Linked DNA regions of Arabidopsis thaliana. The protein of the gene in region 1 interacts with the protein of each later gene in a biochemical or structural test. Each region holds a gene or a part of one and is shown in the gene's direction. Other genes may lie near its edges.

Region 1 (4,032 bases):
CGTTGAGTTATCAAATTGAGAAGTTTTTATTAGATATTGCAAATGCATAATGCTAGTTTTTGTTTGGTTTTGTAGTCGAAGAGAAAGACCAAAGAGCCAAAGGTTGAGAATGTGACTCTTGGACCAGCTGTTCGTGAAGGAGAGCAAGTCTTTGGAGTTGTTCACGTCTTTGCTTCATTCAACGACACTTTCATTGTGAGTGGCTTCTTTATTTTTCAAGCAAAGTTAGATTTTTATGTACATTTCTGAACTTCTTATATCTGCAATTGCAGCACGTGACTGATTTGTCTGGACGGGAAACACTTGTTCGCATCACTGGTAATCATCTCTTTCAACTCTCACTCTCTAATCCTTTGGTGATGATCCCTTTGTTAACTTGTATGCGGTAGTCTCTGTTGAGTGTGAAATGAAGTTCTTGACTGCCTAAAGGTTCTGCTTAGTATCTGCTCTTTTAAGTTTTTTCGAGGAATCCGTTGATATCTTTATAGAAATTGCTTTGTTCTTGACGGCATCAATGTTCCTGCTTATAGAACTAAGTTAGTTACCATTGTTATTAGTATTATGGTCTTCTCTATAGGGTGTGAGCTGAAGTGTCTTTAGTCTTTGTTCGTTTAACTTTTGAGGAATTCCTTTTGTTTATCTGTTTGGAAATTGCATTGTTCTTAAATAACAATGGGTTGCTAAAATTGCTGTTTCGATTTCCTACTTCTGTAGGTGGAATGAAGGTGAAAGCCGACAGAGATGAGTCCTCACCTTATGCTGCTATGCTTGCGGCACAAGATGTTGCTCAGCGATGCAAGGTAAAGGCAAAGAAATTGCATTACCAAGCAGACAACTTGATAATCTTTTATGTTTCTATATTTAATCGATTTGGTGAATATATTTATGCAACACAGGAACTTGGAATCACTGCCATACATGTGAAACTCCGTGCCACTGGTGGTAACAAGACCAAGACCCCTGGACCTGGTGCTCAGTCTGCTCTAAGAGCCCTTGCCCGTTCTGGCATGAAAATTGGTCGCATTGGTAAAACAGCAGCAATCTTCAACTGTAATTGTTTAATTGCATCTTTGATTGAATAAATCTCTGACATTGTTCTTGTTTTCCTCAGAGGATGTGACTCCAATCCCAACCGACAGTACCCGCAGAAAGGGTGGAAGAAGAGGAAGGAGGCTCTGAGTTATTTGGCCTCTCGTTGGATCTCCTTATGTAGCTTTCTCAATGTTTCATTTTGTTTTTTCTTAGTTTGAAAAGAGTTTTGGAATTACTATGCTTTGTTATAGTCTCAACTCTGAACAGCTTTGGATCTTTTTCTGTATGACCATAAGATATTCAAAAATTGGTAGTCATTTTATCTCACAAAAAAACCTTGAATTTGTGCTGTATGATTTTGTAAAGTCTTAGGTGCCAAATCTTTGATTGGAGTTGATAAAATATTTTTATTTGGTTGTAATTTTGTAATATCCCGGGATATTTCACAAATTGAACATAGACTACAGAATTTTAGAAAACAAACTTTCTCTCTCTTATCTCACCTTTATCTTTTAGAGAGAAAAAGTTCGATTTCCGGTTGACCGGAATGTATCTTTGTTTTTTTTGTTTTGTAACATATTTCGTTTTCCGATTTAGATCGGATCTCCTTTTCCGTTTTGTCGGACCTTCTTCCGGTTTATCCGGATCTAATAATATCCATCTTAGACTTAGCTAAGTTTGGATCTGTTTTTTGGTTAGCTCTTGTCAATCGCCTCATCATCAGCAAGAAGGTGAAATTTTTGACAAATAAATCTTAGAATCATGTAGTGTCTTTGGACCTTGGGAATGATAGAAACGATTTGTTATAGCTACTCTATGTATCAGACCCTGACCAAGATCCAACAATCTCATAGGTTTTGTGCATATGAAACCTTCGACTAACGAGAAGTGGTCTTTTAATGAGAGAGATATCTAAAATGTTATCTTAAAAGCCCACTCAAATCTCAAGGCATAAGGTAGAAATGCAAATTTGGAAAGTGGGCTGGGCCTTTTGTGGTAAAGGCCTGTAACCTAGCCCAATATTAGCAAAACCCTAGACGCGTACATTGACATATATAAACCCGCCTCCTCCTTGTTTAGGGTTTCTACGTGAGAGAAGACGAAACACAAAAGATGCAGATCTTCGTGAAAACCTTGACCGGCAAGACCATCACTCTCGAGGTCGAGAGCAGCGACACCATCGACAATGTCAAGGCCAAGATCCAAGACAAAGAAGGTATCATTCTTCCTCACTCAATCTGGATTCTTCTCTTTAGCTTTTTGAAATTCAGATCTCTTATCATTTACTTGTTTCTCCTTTAAGGAATCCCTCCGGATCAGCAGAGATTGATCTTCGCCGGAAAGCAGCTCGAAGATGGCCGTACTTTGGCTGACTACAACATCCAGAAAGGTACGAAATCATCCGAATCCTTCTGTTGATCATTTCGATGATCTGATTGTATAAACTCTAATGGATTGTTATCATTTGTAAACAGAATCTACACTTCATCTTGTGTTGAGGCTTAGAGGAGGTATTATTGAGCCTTCCTTGATGATGCTTGCTCGTAAGTACAATCAGGATAAGATGATTTGCCGCAAGTAAGTTTCAATTTCTCCCTAAGATTGTAGTTTTGTTGATTAATAGTTCAAAGTACCAAATGTTTATTAGTGTGTTAGGGTTTTAGTTGTTTTAATGGGAATTAACTTAGCTTCTCAAGCCTTATACAATGCGTGTTGAGGTTATAAATGTTCCCAATATCAAACATTTCCATTCTCTAAACTTTGTCAGCTGGTCAAATTTCTCATCTTTCCAGATGATTTTCTTGAATGGTACATTTTTGCAAATGGTTTTGAAAATGTGTTGAAGCTTGTATTTTTGATTGCTGAAACATCTTGTTTGTTGGATAGTTTGTCATCTATGGTCCGATCTGATGTCTCAATGAGATTATTCTAATGTAAATTTCGCATCTTTTGGTAGGTGCTATGCTCGTCTTCACCCAAGAGCTGTCAACTGCAGGAAGAAGAAGTGTGGTCACAGCAACCAGGTTTGTTTTTGTTACTTGTTTCTTTTTGGTGTTTATCAGCTGAAATGATATCTGAACAAACTTTTTTTATTTGCAGTTGAGGCCTAAGAAGAAGATCAAGTAGAGAGACTCTTATCAAGAATCCCATCTCTTGCTTGCTTTTTTTTGTTGTCTTCCCTTTGATAGGGTTTGTTTTTCTTGTTTCAGTGACTTTCTATGTTAAAAGATAATGTCAGTAAAAGGATTTGGTTTTCTATTATTCTGAATCGATTACGGAAGATTCTTGCTTAATTCCAATCTATACAAGTATCGTGAAATAATGACCGTTTATGTGATTAGGAGACGTGTTTCATTAATAAAATATAAGATCAATACATTGTTAGTAGTGATAAACTATGTACAAATTGTATTGATTGTAAAAGAAACACAATAGGTTCCTTTTTTCTACAATATATTGTGACAGACTCTCTGTTTTAACGAATGAATTAAATTTGTCAACGAAAAAATTAAAGAATGATGTGATCACTTTGCACCTTGGTTCATCTTCAGAGGCTTCTGCATGTTCCATGCATTGAGGCTCTCTACGGTCACAGGTTGTGAGCCGTTGTTAAAGACAAACAAATGAGCTTTTTCTCCTACTGCTTTTGTCGGATACACTCTAGATGTTATCACTGTCTTTCCTTTTGCTCCAAAGCTCTCCACAACCGAGTGATCAATCTGCAAATTCACTCAATTATGTTACCTATTTGCTTCTCTATACAAGAGTAATATTCAGTAAAATGATTTAAGTTTGTGACGTACCAAACTCCTTAGAGAGATCTTTCCGTCAAGGAGACCGACATCCACAAAACCAGCAAACGATGGTTTGTACATCCTCTCCTTGGCGTCAGTCCCGGTGTCTTTTTTGAGACTCGAACTGTTGATTTATTGTGATTAATGTTAGACACTCTCAAATTGTAATTAACAAAAATCATATATAAATAATTGAATTAGTGAG
Region 2 (5,793 bases), about 18 Mb from region 1:
GCCATAAATGTGTTGGTGATCTTCGTGAAATTTCGTCTAGATCGTGTGGAAATGCCACGTCAGCTCGTATTCATCTTCGAGGATGTCATTTGATATACAAATTCGAACGTATTGATACCCCTGGCGCTCGTAAGTATTCATCTTTGTTGTTGACAAAAAATCATAAAATCGTGTACAGAAAAAAATGGTTGGAAAATTTCTTACTTATTTGGTCTTATAGTAAAATTTCTTATACTTTTATCAAAAAATATATTATTTCTTAGGTATATAAATTTTCCACTCGCGAGAAAAATTGAAGGATAGTGATAAACAAATTAAGTTGAATTCACATTAAAGTAAACGATTCATTACGTAAAATAAATATGATTCTTGTTATTTTTGGAAGAAGTTAATAATCATCACAAGTACAAGTTATTTGAGACCCCGGAACACGGTCTCATCCACAAGATATGCGATGGAGCTACCGCGGAGACTTTCCCCGGATTCGAAGAGATGAGGACGGAGGCACTCACTGCAGCCGAAACAGGAGTTGTTGACGGTCACGGATTCTATGAGGATAGCTACAAGCTCCTCCACGTTGTGGCTCAATGCGACGGCCACGTTGAAGCTTGCGATTGCGGCGAGTGCATAAGTTCAGCCGCGGCAGCAGCAGCAGAAGAGTGTCGGTGGTCCATAGCCGGACAAATATACTTAGAAGGGTGCCACGTCGGTTATACATATCACCCACATGAACTTCCCAATGATTCATACCACGGTACGTACAGTTATTAAAGAAAACTGAACCAAAACAAATATCAGTTGATTATGTACTTAAGTTGCGAATTGTTTCTTTTGACAGAAGAAGGTTCAAAAGTAAACACGGGGAAGTCGTTGGCGATTGTTGTAGGAGGAGTAGCGGCATTGGTCTTTGTTGCTATCTTTTTTATGTTCCTAAAAAGCTTGCGGAAAAAAGGAGATGGTAAGTTATTACTATTAGATTTGATATCGTTTTACTCTATTTTTTTTTAATTTGAAAACATTATAATGTAGAGACATGCTAATATAAACGAAACATGCTAATTATAAACGAAAATATTAGAAACTTATAATTATATAGATCCCATGTTTATGAAGTTCTTACACAAATGTTCTAACTATTTAATTATGTACATACAAAATTGAATTGACTAATTAATTATCCTATTGCAGATTGTTGAAGGGTACATGATCAGAGAGATGTTGGGAAAATAATTCTGTTCCTTGTATTTGTTCTACCAACCAAGGAAAACCTCCTTCTTTCCATTTTTCGATTGTGGAAATAAAAGTGGTAGGATACGTAATTAATCATGTAACTATTTGCCCTAAAAGTTATATAACATCCTTTAATAACTACGACGTTTGCTTTAACAAAAAAAAAAAATAACTACAGTACGACGTTTGAAGTAAGAAGATTATATATTTATGTTTTGTAACCCCCAGAACTAATACATATCACGTTATAGCCCATAACTTTTATTTAATTATGCTGTGCTTTTTAGTCAATGGGCCTATTTTAATGGACCTACACAATCATGGAAATAAATCTGGAAATAAATCTGTCCACGACGGAAAAACAAAATCTATAAACAATTGTATGTATACTCACGCACGACGCAGTGAAACAGAGATACTGTGGAAAAGTGTGTTTAAAATGGATCTGTTTTAGGGTATTTATCAATTCGAAAATTGATTAATTTATTAATTTCGTAAGCTTTCACAGAAAGTTCGAACTCTTTGCATGCAATCATTCGCCGTCTTCTTCCACAATTGTGTTTTTTAGCCGGCGGCGGCTGGATTCGAGAAGCTTCCGATTGTTCTGTATGATCAGTCTCTCCGGACTAACCAGTAAGGTTTTTTGTTTGTATGTTACGCATTCTCTTTGCTTTTCTCATGCATTCTCTTTTCTTATTGTGTTGATCAATGTGGGTTCTTACTCCGCGAGTTGCAGAACGGTTTAAGCTTGAAATTTTGAAAAATGTTGGAATCTGTCTTTGTCGATTTGATGAGATCGCCGTTTTTGTTTTGTTTGGAATTGGCATAAATCTGTTTTTAGGGTTCTTGATTGGTGAGATTTTTGGATGATTGTTGATAAGGATTGGGTTTATTCAAAATTCGCAGATCTTTAAGGATAGCTGATGCATTGATGTGTCTTTACTTTGGTGATTAGCAGTTTCATACATATGAACCAGATTATATTTTATCACTAGAAAACTAGTAATTTGGCATTTTTTACCAATTAAGATATTTAGTGTGTATTTGCAGGTTCTGTTGAAAGTGATCTCGATATGCAACAAGCGATGCTCACCAATAAAGACGAGAAGGTACTCAAAGCTTTAGAGAGAACAAGGCAATTGGATATTCCCGATGAAAAGACAATGCCAGTGCTTATGAAGCTCCTAGAAGAGGCTGGTGGCAATTGGTCGTATATAAAGTTGGATAACTATACTGCACTGGTCGACGCTATTTATTCTGTTGAGGATGAGAATAAGCAAAGTGAAGGTTCATCTAATGGTAATAGAGGGAAGAATCTTAAGGTCATTGACTCTCCTGCTACTCTGAAAAAAACTTACGAAACCCGTTCTGCATCCTCAGGTTCCTCCATTCAGGTAGTCCAGAAGCAGCCACAGCTTAGTAATGGTGATCGCAAGAGGAAATATAAAAGCAGAATTGCTGACATAACTAAAGGTTCAGAGAGCGTTAAAATCCCTCTTGTCGATGATGTTGGGAGTGAAGCTGTGCCAAAGTTTACTTACATCCCTCACAACATTGTTTACCAAAGTGCTTATCTCCACGTGTCTCTGGCTCGAATCTCTGATGAAGATTGCTGCGCAAACTGCAAAGGGAACTGTCTTTCAGCTGACTTTCCTTGCACTTGTGCTCGTGAAACCAGTGGAGAATATGCTTATACCAAAGAAGGGCTGCTAAAGGAAAAGTTTCTGGACACCTGTCTTAAGATGAAAAAGGAACCAGATTCGTTCCCTAAAGTTTACTGCAAAGACTGCCCTTTGGAGAGAGATCACGATAAGGGCACATATGGAAAATGTGATGGACACTTAATCCGAAAGTTCATCAAGGAATGCTGGAGAAAGTGTGGATGTGATATGCAGTGTGGAAATCGAGTAGTACAGAGAGGGATAAGGTGCCAACTGCAGGTTACATTTCTAGGATACTACATTCAATCTTATATGCTGACCATCCTATTTTAAATTAGTCTTCTATATAGCTTCTTGGCTTGATGTCTGGCACCCTCATAATTTTGAACTATTTCTATGATTTTCTCCCCGTTTTTTTTGAATTATTATTTTCTCCTTTCATTTGTTTGACGAGCAAAATATATTGTTTCAGGTTTACTTTACTCAAGAAGGGAAAGGATGGGGTCTTAGAACACTGCAAGACTTGCCCAAAGGAACCTTTATCTGTGAATACATTGGTGAAATATTGACCAACACGGAGTTATACGATCGGAATGTTAGGTCTAGTAGTGAACGACATACATATCCTGTAACTCTGGATGCAGACTGGGGTTCTGAAAAGGATCTAAAAGATGAAGAAGCTCTCTGCCTGGATGCCACAATCTGTGGAAATGTCGCAAGGTTTATCAATCACAGGTATTAATCAACGCTCGTTGTGCTATGATTTTTTCGTGCTTCCCTTGAGAGTTTATGGTTCTTGTGAACTTTTGTTGATGCAGATGCGAGGATGCAAACATGATTGATATTCCGATAGAGATAGAGACGCCTGACAGACATTATTATCATGTAAGTATCTGTTTTCTCCACTCTAACCTGATCTTCCGGAAAGCAGTGATTGTGAAAGTAAATTTCAGTGAGCTTAAGGAGTCTGGGTTTGGTCATGTGCAGATTGCTTTTTTTACCCTACGAGACGTGAAGGCCATGGATGAGTTGACATGGGTAAGCACCATGATTAAGCTACCTTAGTTTTAACTACTTTGTATTGACCACATAGTTACAAATACTCACATGGCTAAAGAAGTTTTGCGCTCTTACTGTGGATATTGCACTAAAGCTATTAGATTAGAGCATTCTGATGATTTTGCCATTCTAGATCTCTGGTGTGTTTGTAGATGACTTCATCAATAGAGAGATGGAACCAAACACGTCTTTCTACTGGTCCCATAACGTTATCCTCTCTTGAGTTGTACAGATACTCAATTCAAAAAACCTGTGTTTCTAATCGCAGGATTACATGATAGACTTCAATGATAAAAGTCATCCTGTAAAGGCATTTAGATGTTGCTGCGGAAGCGAATCATGCAGAGACAGAAAAATAAAAGGTCAGTTTTCTTTACACATTGCTTTTGTTGTTCAAACCTTTGTGACAGAATGCTGGCTTACTTCCTTCGTTTGCTTACACATTCTAAGTTAGATTTTGTGTAGTTTCGTATGAGATCCGAGCCAAAAATATGATTTGGCAAAGTACATTGATTCACAGAAATGAAATGATGCCACCAAAAAAAGAGAAACTATATTTCTTGGCTAATTATGCATTCCGGTGATATGTCATGTCAGGATCTCAAGGCAAGTCTATAGAGAGAAGAAAGATTGTTTCTGCTAAAAAACAACAAGGTGAGAAAGAATGTCTAAGATGATATAACCTTAGAGGCTTAGCATCAATTATCCCTGCCTAAAGCTTGAGATCCTTTAGAATTTCTCTAAAGTGTATGATTCAGTCGTTGAGGTAACAACCGCCAATTCTTAAAATGCAGGTTCCAAAGAGGTGTCTAAAAAGCGCAAATGAGACTGGTCATTATTTAGAGTTAAACATTAAAGAAAGCATGAGCTCACAAAACACTATGATCCATCGCGAGCTCTGCATGATTCAACTAGCTTTTCCTTCTTGATGACATATACAACTTTTATGGTCTGCAGTTTTTTCTCATTTACAATCTCTTCTTTAGGTAAAAAAAAGTGTTATGTTGCCTAACCAAAGAAACTCACTGTTTAGTTCTGTTCTTCAAATTTCATGGCATATGTCAAAATAAATAAACCTTTTTTAATAGAGTTCTAGAGCGTAAAGACTGGATCGAAAAGGAGCCCATCACTGGTAAATTCAGCCAAGAGTGATCCATCGCATCAATGATTTGTAATGTTAAACAAAATTTTAATATTTAGACTTAGAAGTTGTAATTTATTGGTTTATTTTGGTCATCATAGAAGAATTATTTACATATTTTATATTTTTATTTATACATTGTTGCTAGTTTTTTTGGAACTATCAAATTTTACATTCTTTGTTTTTTTTTCTCCAAGAAGTTACTGATTTGAAGAAACCTATATCTTTGTAATGTTACATGTACTGGAGACTGGAAGTTACTTACATATATGACTTTGACCAACATTTCTATTCGGATTAAACAAAGTATAATCCTAGGTTCATCAGTTCCAAATTTGTTTCTACCAATTCAGAAGTGCTTCTTCTTATGGTTGCATACCTTGAGAAGAGAAAGGGAATGTTGTGAGTAAAGCATCTTCTTAAGGTATTTTTTAGTTTCCAGGTCCGCAAGTGAGTAAAGCTCATGGTTTAATCCATGTATGAGCTGCATCTCCCCACTTGAGCTCTTCGAAAGCTACCCTCAGCGAATGGTGTTGAAATTGTGTTTAGATGTAACAGGCTCCAATTTTGCTATAATATGCTTAACATCGTCTAAAACTGCAGGACCATACATATCAGAGCTCGCAGAAGCAGCAGTAGGTGACGCATTAGGAACCTATTAAGAGGCAATCAAAACGACAAGAGAGCAATAAAAGTTTGTGA
Region 3 (7,983 bases), on another chromosome or scaffold:
ACTTCGTATAGACCCATCCTGGTGGTGGAATATAACGTCTGACGGAGAAGTGTAGCGGAGACTCCTGAGAATAACGCGGCGGCGCCTTCCGATTTGACTATGTTGATTCCGAGTGAGATCGGTCCTACTTTGGGGACTGAAGAAGTCGTTTCCAGGAAAGCTGCAGGAGAAGAATTGGGGAAAGCGAGAGCTGGACGGAGGAGAGTGACGGTGGTGGTGGAAGGTGCTTCACCGTGAAGCTGAAGACGAACCTTGATTAGATCGAGAGGGTGAGTAGAGCAACCGGCGATTACAGAGGCAATCCCACCTTCAACGAAACTTTTGACTCCCATTGTTGTGAAATTGGAGAGAGAAGAGAGAATGAAATTGAGATGTTGTGAGTGAAGGAGAAGAAGAGGGAAACAAAGGTATTTATTTGTAGCGAGTTTTGTTTTGTGACGCGGTTTTGTCTGTGTTCAATGTTGACGAAACGAGTGAGAGAGTGTCTGATTATTAAAGAAAACCCTAATTAAGTCAGACCCGCCGGTTATAAAAATAGTCAAAAAGTAGGAAAACGCGTGTGTGAGTGAGACAGAGACAGCCCATTGTTTGCTTTATGGGCTTATAAGCGAGACGTGTTAATTGGGCTTTTTCCTTTATGGCCGAAAACAAAAGAAACGTCGCCTGAGAGATTCGAACTCTCGCGGGCAGAGCCCATGTACTTAGCAGGCACACGCCTTAACCACTCGGCCAAAGCGACTTGTTGCTATGAGTTAGACAAAATCATTAAAATTCTCTATTATGATTTCTCATAGTGTGTGTGTATATTGTGGATCTACTAAAAATTCTTTGTTATTATTACTTTATTTTGTGAATTAGTTTGATATAGGTAAGTACAAAGTTAACTTTATTATTTACTCAAAATTTATCAGATTAACTGATTTTATATTGTTTCCTTTGGTATATAGACGTACTATAGTTTTTAGAAAAACCATAAGATTCCTTTATATTTCATAGAGTGAAGAGATGAGATGAGATCTTGGCTGGAGAAGAAATAAGTTTCCACGAGGAGGACTCTTTTTTTTTGGTGAAGACGAGGAGGAGGACTCTTGGTTGATCCAGTCTTTACGTTAGACATCGACCCCTACATTTATTTGCCTTTCTCTATCAACATGGCAGGTAAAAATCTTCATTCAACCGAACCAACCAAAGTCTCTTCCCAATAATATTCAAGCACCATCCTTTGGGAAACTCATACATACTACAGTCTACACTCTTTCATTTTCTTTCAACGCTCAACTTAACAAATGATATAGTCTAGTTGTCAATTATATGTTTTAATTAGTGTTTTCACATCAAATTCTGGTTTGATATTTGATGACTATTTTCGGAAACATCTCAATGTCCCGCAAATACAATCGTCTATCATATATAATCCCGTACGTTGTATTCTTATAGATAGAATAATATGGCGTGATCTTTATAATATAACATATAGAATCGTGTAGATTTATTTTATTTTATTTTTATATATCGCATAAATTGCAAAATACTTATATATGTTTGTTATATATGATACCCATTTTATAGTTACTTAAAAAAAGTTAAGCGATAATATATATATATCAACTTTTTATAACAAAAAAGTATAACACATGGTAAAGAAAAATAAAAATGAAGACATGGTGTGACACGAAAATGGCACTAAATATACATATATAATAGATAGCTACAATATCCCATCATACACACTTTTTTAATTGACTAATACATAACTTACACACTTTTTTAATTGACTAATTCATAACTTTTTATCATTGTCAACATGCAAATTCATATTTCCGTTGAACTATTATTCTTATTTTGTTTTTAAAAGAAGGGCTTCCTGGTAATAAAAATATGATTTCCAAATGACGTTAGAGCAAAAAAAAAAAAAGGTTGTCTGGTCTGGTAAAATGAAAAAGCAAAGCGTCTTGGTATAGAAAAGTAATATACTGCCTCCTAATTTCTTCGTCCTTCTACCGAAGAATCTCTCCACTCTTGCCCTCTTTCGAAACCCTAAACCAGAAGCACCAGATTTTTTCAACTTTTTCCCAGAGAACAATAGAAAACCCAACTTGTGCTCTCTAGGGTTTTCTTTATTCCTTCTCATCTTTGGATTTTCTTGGGTCATCATTTTGGAAGCTTACCCACCAGCGAAAAAATTATAACTTCCATCGATTCCTGGCTTCTCTCTCTCGCTCTCTCTGCATGTGCTAAATCGCCGGACTGATCCTCACTGTCACCTCTGTTCCCGGCTTATTCGCCGGTGAAATCTATGGTTGGTGCTCAGATTTATTTCCAATTGTTTGTGCATCTGGTGGAGGATAAATGCTCCTTGTTTTGGATCTAGGGATTTCTAGTCTAGTCCTTGTGGTCTCTCTTGTTTTACCTTTGATCGGTCTCTTTGTTCGTCACAAATGGAGGGTCGCTGCCCAAAGAAGGGAGGAGATTAGAAGACTTCTTATTCATGCTTCTGAAGAGGCTGCCAGGGCTGAGCTAGAGGCCTCTGTTGAGTTCTCTTCTGTTGCCGTCTCTAATGTCTTCCATTGTCCTGTTTGCTATTGTCTTGCCACGACTCGTTGCTCTCGCTGCAAAGCCGTTCGATATTGGTATGCAAAAATTCTCTCACTTTCTCCATGTCCAAATTACGTTGTATGATCTTAGAGTTATGATTGCATCTGCTGCACTCTCTGCTGAGACGTGATGAATTGGAGTGATTAGTAGGCAAAGAATATAAGTTAGTTCTGTAACTTTAGCGATACTGGATCAGAGATTTAAGAAAATTGACTTCTTTTTCTATGTTAACAAAATTATGGGTAATTAGTTAGCTTGGGAGGAAGTTTAGTATTTGATTCATGGCTTATCTGTGAGTAACTAACTATGTGCTGCTGAGGAATTTATTTCAATTAGATAGCTTAAGAAATGTACTATAATGTCTATCAAATTTTCAACCTTTTCCCCTTAGCGCATGTGAAATTTCGTTACCTACATATCTTAGTGATAGTTGTTTCGTTTTTGTTATTTTTTTTCCAGTTCCGGGAAATGTCAAATCATTCACTGGCGGCAAGGTCACAAAGATGAATGTCATCCTGCTTCCATTGTATATGATAGTGAAGATGAGAGTGATTCCGATTTGAGATTAGGAGAAGAAAATGGACAAAATACTCCTGAGGAAACTTTACTGGTGGGTCCAGAACCAGTTACTATACCAATCGGGGAATCACTATTATCTAATCGTGCCAGATCTCCTGAAGATGGGAATGGAGATATTGCAGATAACAAAGATGACCTTATAGATAAGGAAGAAGCTGTTTCTGTTGCTGAAACATCTGGATCCTCGTTTTCTGGCTTCTCCTCCTCCCCCCGTAATGACTCTGGCGACGAGATTTCTCGTTGTGAGAGCTTCAGTTCATCTGAATCCGAGAGATCAGAGTCCCTACTTGATGCTCATGTCTCTGTAGAGCCAGAAGACACCTGTTTCAGCACCATTGAAGATGCTCCATCCAAACTGTTGTCTCCAAAATTTGTGCACTTGGTTGAATCTGTAGATAATCTCGCTAATCTGCCTAAATTAAGTGTACATAAACCTGAGGATGATGCTGGGCAGAACCAGAGCCAATCAAGGAGCTTACACTCATTAGTTACGGATAGGCATCCAGTATCAGCTGACCCATCTCTGAAGTCATCTGATTTTTGGGGTACGGCTCTTGGATCAGCCGAACGTGTGAGTGATTCTTGTGTTAAATCTAAATCTGGTAGACCTGGTAACTCCTCTCTGCATTTCTCCTTTGGCTCTGGCTCCTCTAGAGACACCTCAGCTGCTAAAGTTTCTGAGCAGAGGAGTAGCATTTTAAAAGAAGCTCCTAGGGGGACTGGTTATATATCTGATGGAGTAAACTTAAGAGAAAGAAATGCTAAAAGATTTGATGAAGCTGAAATTGCATTACCAATTTCCTCTTCTACTGATGCGCTGAGTCCTTTGGACTCTTCTAATTTGTCCCATGTGACCCTTCCGAAGTCAAAGAGCGCTAGTAGTGAAAATGGCTCTATGTTGGCCCCTTTGAAGGTTGGGGAAGTCCAACTTTTGGCATCCAAGGCCTCGAATACCAAGAAGTGTGCTGATCTTATGAAGCATTCTCCTTTAGGTGCAAAATCGGTAAGAGTTCTTGATCATCAGAAACAGAATGGTGCTGTCGTTCAGCATATAAATTCTCTACATGGAAGAAGTGGTTTAAAGGCATCAGTACTGAAAGTTGTAGACCAGTGGACCAGACCGAAGTCTGAAAATGAGATGGCAGGAAGACATGGTCATAAGGTAATCACTGAGTTCTAGGATGTTATCATCATTATGCAATACTTAGTTCCTACATTAACAAATCAGCAAAGCTATTTTTCTTATCAATCTTTTGGTGACATGCAGGGGCTCTTTCCATATGAAGTCTTTGCTAAACTGTATACATATAAAATTGAGTTCCAGCCTTGTGGCCTCATCAACGTTGGCAATAGGTAATTCCAATTTCCTCTTTTTCTAGTCGTTTTTAGCTGTTATAATCTTCAGCTTGTGGTGTAAAAAATGTAAAGTAAATGTGTAGCTTACACTCGCTGATGCAAGAATATACTCTGTTTCTTGCAGCTGCTTTGCTAATGTTGTCTTTCAATGCCTTATGTTCACTCCTCCTCTGACGACATACTTCCTCCAGCAATTTCATTCCAGAGCATGTGCGTCACTGGTTCTAAGTCTTTTTTCTTTTTGCTGCTTATTTTGGAAGGTTATTTTTTATTATCATCAATATATCAAGCCTTTAATAAGTCGTTTAACTATAGGTACAAAAAAAGAACAGTGCTTCACCTGTGGGTTTGAGAAGCTGGTCGTAAAGGCAAAAGAAGAGAAGTCTCCACTGTCCCCTAATGGCTTGCTATCTCAGCTGCAGAATATTGGAATCTTTCTTGGGAATGGCAAGGAAGAAGATGCACATGAATTCCTTAGGTGAACTGACATTTCTGAAATTGAGCAAACTTTGTTGCATATATCTTTATTATAACTGGAAGATCTGTGTTAATTTCATTTTCCTTGCAATTTGCAGGTTTGTTGTCGATACAATGCAGTCTGTGTGCATTAAGGCATCTGAATATGATATGACCAAGAGTAGCAAATTAGAAGATACAACTCTTATTGGTTTGACATTTGGGGGATACCTCCGGTCAAAGGTATCATTACCTACAACATTTGTACTTTACTCATTTTACTTTGTTTTGGAGGGAGTTGTAATCCTGGTACTTATGATCTCTGCCAGATTAAATGCATGAAATGTCAAGTAAAATCTGAGCTGCGTGAGAAAATGATGGATCTAACGGTTGAGATTGATGGAGATATTAGCACCCTGGATGATGCTTTGCGTCGATTTACAAGGACTGAGATATTGGATGGAGAGAACAAATACAGATGTGGCAGGTTGGTCAGCATTCCTTTCCATGTGTTGAACTTCGTGTGGTCCTTTGATATTTCGAATTATCTTTTCATGGTTCTGAGGATAGAGTTTTACATGAGCTTTATATATGGTTCTGAGTTGGGTATGATACCGATTGATTTAAAGTTCATGGGCAGCTGAAGTAGAGTTCATGGCCTGCCAAAGTATTCCCTTTCATATATTTCAATTACAATACCTAGATTCCACGACCAGCTGCAATAAAATTCCCTTCTAGCTTATGAAGACAGAATGTTTTTGAAGTACTATCATGGTCTTTCATTTGCGTAGTTTTAACTAATCACCTGTAACCTCTTATGTAAATCCTGGCAGTACGATTTTACATTCAATGATTGATGGGTGCTTACTCAATTTTTTTATTTTCCTGTGAGCAGCTGTAAATCCTATGAGAGAGCCAAAAAGAAGCTGAAAATAACAGAGCCTCCGAATGTCCTTACCATTGCACTAAAACGATTCCAGGTAACTTATATCTTCAATGAATACCCGGTTTGTTTCTGTTTAGTTCTATCTGGATTCTCTTGTTTCTCACAATTTTGCGACACTTGATTCTTAAAGGCAGGGAAATTCGGGAAGCTCAATAAGTTGATTAGGTTTCCAGAAACTCTAGATTTGGCTCCATATGTCAGTGGGGGAAGTGAAAAATCACATGACTACAAACTCTATGGAGTTATTGTTCACTTGGATGTAATGAATGCAGCATTTTCTGGCCATTATGTCTGCTATATTAGAAACCAAAATAAGTGGTACAAGGCTGATGATAGCACGGTAAGTTTCTCATATATTATCAATGGAATGTTGTTTGCGAATTAGTTTATAAGTAAGCTCGATTTTTTGTTCCCTTTTTACTTGAGTTTGTTATTTGATGAACTTTGGAATTAACTAGGAGTATCTTACTTCTATGACAGCATTTTAGGTTTACAATTTTCTGCTTCTTCCTTTTCAGTGATGAGTTTCTTAGTTTGAAATTTTGAATGGATAAGTATTATATAATTTTCCCCTTCCTTTTATATGCTGAAGTTGTTTTCTAGAAAGGATATTCTAGCTGGTTCCATTGGGGTTTCTATCTTTGTTGTAGTCTGAAGAGTCGTAGGATTGGTTTTGTGAGAGAAAATGTTTTGGCTTCTACTCATTGACTGGTCTCTTCTCGTCATCATCCATATATCTGCATCATACATTTGAAGAAAATTTCAATGTTTAATTCCTCTGTTGTGCATTGATTATTGTCAGGTAGTAACTTCGGATGTGGAAAGGATCTTGACAAAGGGAGCGTATATGTTGTTCTACGCAAGGTAAATAATATTATAATGCATCTCTCACACTCTTTAAAGTTGTGGATTATGCTCGATCTGGTTACTTATGATGGTATATATCGAATGAATTGACTGCAGGTGCACTCCAACGCCTCCAAGATTAGCAGTATGTACCAAAACTGAAGCATCCAATAAAAAAAGCAGAGTGCCACTACCTAAGGCTAATGAGAAAAGTACCATATCCCGGTCTGTGTCTACTTCAAGTCCTGAGTTGTCTTCCAACACGCCTGGTGGTGGTCGATCCGGCAATATACAGTCATTTTATTCTAGTTTCCAGAGGCTGCAGAAGATTTTAGAAGAAGACTCGGCGAGTGACAGTTCATCTCTCTTTGACAGCAACTCAGATGAATGCTCTTGTAGCACAGACAGTACAAGCATGGACGACTTTGCTGATTTCATTTTTGGAGATCATCAGGGACGGGCTCACGGACAGTCTGAGACTCCCTCACCAACATCATCGTCTTCCTCATCTTCTCCCCCCTTCACAAGGCGTTCGCCGCTCAGTCGTTCTTCTCCAGAAACTTACGGAACCTCAAGACATCAGTTGCCCTTGGGAGGAGAAAGGTAAGGGAAACAAGATGGTTTTTTGTCCACTTGGCCCCAACTAAGTCAAAAGTAGTAGAAGAAAGTAGATTTGATTACACGTAGATTGAGTGGTTTTATTAACAACCCGTATTTAGGCTTGGTGAAAGTGGTTAATGAGAGAAGTGGTGGTATATAGTAGTGTATAGTGGGGAAGAGAGTTTTTGCCCATGAAATTGTATCACGTAATGGAACGGAATTTACCTTTGTTAATAAGTTGTTTTGACTTTTATTATAATCAATCAATAAAGCTAATCTAATATTGTCTCATCGTTGCACCTTTATTTCTTTTGCAATTTGCTTAACTTTGAATCTTTGGATTCAGTTCAGTTCAGAAATTCAAGAAAAATCCCAAAAGATGCAATTTTGCCAGTTCCAAGAAAAGAGATCATATGATGTTTTCAGGGGCAAACAAAATAAAAGCATATAGCCATATATGTTGATACCGAAACAAGAAAGTATCCAAATAGAAGAGACAACATTCAACACAGTACTGTGAAGCAAGTGTGATCCGAAAATGAAAAGAGAAAGTACTTAGACATACAAGTGAAGGATAAACATTATCTGAAAACAGGTCATATCCT

The links.
Region 2: the proteins of UBQ1 (region 1) and SUVR4 form a complex in vitro, tested with the Arabidopsis thaliana proteins (2 studies listed by BioGRID, with this or other methods).
Region 3: of the proteins of UBQ1 (region 1) and UBP16, one has a biochemical effect on the other in vitro, tested with the Arabidopsis thaliana proteins (one study listed by BioGRID).

Annotation. Positions count from the first base shown.
Region 1 is NC_003074.8:19,503,523-19,507,554, forward strand, and holds UBQ1 (ubiquitin extension protein 1), read left to right. Parts: upstream 1-1,856; 5' UTR 1,857-2,145; coding exon 2,146-2,248; intron 2,249-2,335; coding exon 2,336-2,422; intron 2,423-2,507; coding exon 2,508-2,610; intron 2,611-2,807; exon of another isoform or gene 2,808-2,849; intron 2,850-2,989; coding exon 2,990-3,056; intron 3,057-3,132; coding exon 3,133-3,159; 3' UTR 3,160-3,410; downstream 3,411-4,032. Other genes in the region: AT3G52580 (Ribosomal protein S11 family protein), read left to right, coding at 76-195, 273-318, 715-800, 897-1,026, 1,112-1,179; CWINV2 (cell wall invertase 2), read right to left, coding at 3,558-3,752, 3,837-3,951.
Region 2 is NC_003074.8:1,159,764-1,165,556, forward strand, and holds SUVR4 (SET-domain containing protein lysine methyltransferase family protein), read left to right. Parts: upstream 1-1,602; 5' UTR 1,603-1,838; coding exon 1,839-1,863; exon of another isoform or gene 1,864-1,879; intron 1,880-2,267; exon of another isoform or gene 2,268-2,280; coding exon 2,281-3,170; intron 3,171-3,363; coding exon 3,364-3,626; intron 3,627-3,709; coding exon 3,710-3,776; intron 3,777-3,878; coding exon 3,879-3,929; intron 3,930-4,218; coding exon 4,219-4,312; intron 4,313-4,547; coding exon 4,548-4,604; coding exon of another isoform or gene 4,605-4,627; exon of another isoform or gene 4,628-4,693; intron 4,694-4,744; coding exon 4,745-4,776; 3' UTR 4,777-5,214; downstream 5,215-5,793. Other genes in the region: PDLP4 (plasmodesmata-located protein 4), read left to right, coding at 1-129, 386-754, 839-958, 1,189-1,196; AT3G04390 (Aldehyde oxidase/xanthine dehydrogenase, molybdopterin binding protein), read right to left, coding at 5,612-5,746. UniProt on the Arabidopsis thaliana protein: Histone methyltransferase that converts monomethylated 'Lys-9' of histone H3 (H3K9me1) to dimethylated 'Lys-9' (H3K9me2) in the absence of bound ubiquitin, and to trimethylated 'Lys-9' (H3K9me3) in the presence of bound ubiquitin.
Region 3 is NC_003075.7:12,678,895-12,686,877, reverse strand, and holds UBP16 (ubiquitin-specific protease 16), read left to right. Parts: upstream 1-1,901; 5' UTR 1,902-2,349; coding exon 2,350-2,630; intron 2,631-3,054; coding exon 3,055-4,336; intron 4,337-4,441; coding exon 4,442-4,527; intron 4,528-4,654; coding exon 4,655-4,740; intron 4,741-4,845; coding exon 4,846-5,008; intron 5,009-5,105; coding exon 5,106-5,229; intron 5,230-5,315; coding exon 5,316-5,473; intron 5,474-5,881; coding exon 5,882-5,966; intron 5,967-6,062; coding exon 6,063-6,272; intron 6,273-6,734; coding exon 6,735-6,796; intron 6,797-6,895; coding exon 6,896-7,385; 3' UTR 7,386-7,678; downstream 7,679-7,983. Other genes in the region: DIC2 (dicarboxylate carrier 2), read right to left, coding at 1-332; AT4G24550 (Clathrin adaptor complexes medium subunit family protein), read right to left, coding at 7,975-7,983. UniProt on the Arabidopsis thaliana protein: Recognizes and hydrolyzes the peptide bond at the C-terminal Gly of ubiquitin. Involved in the processing of poly-ubiquitin precursors as well as that of ubiquitinated proteins.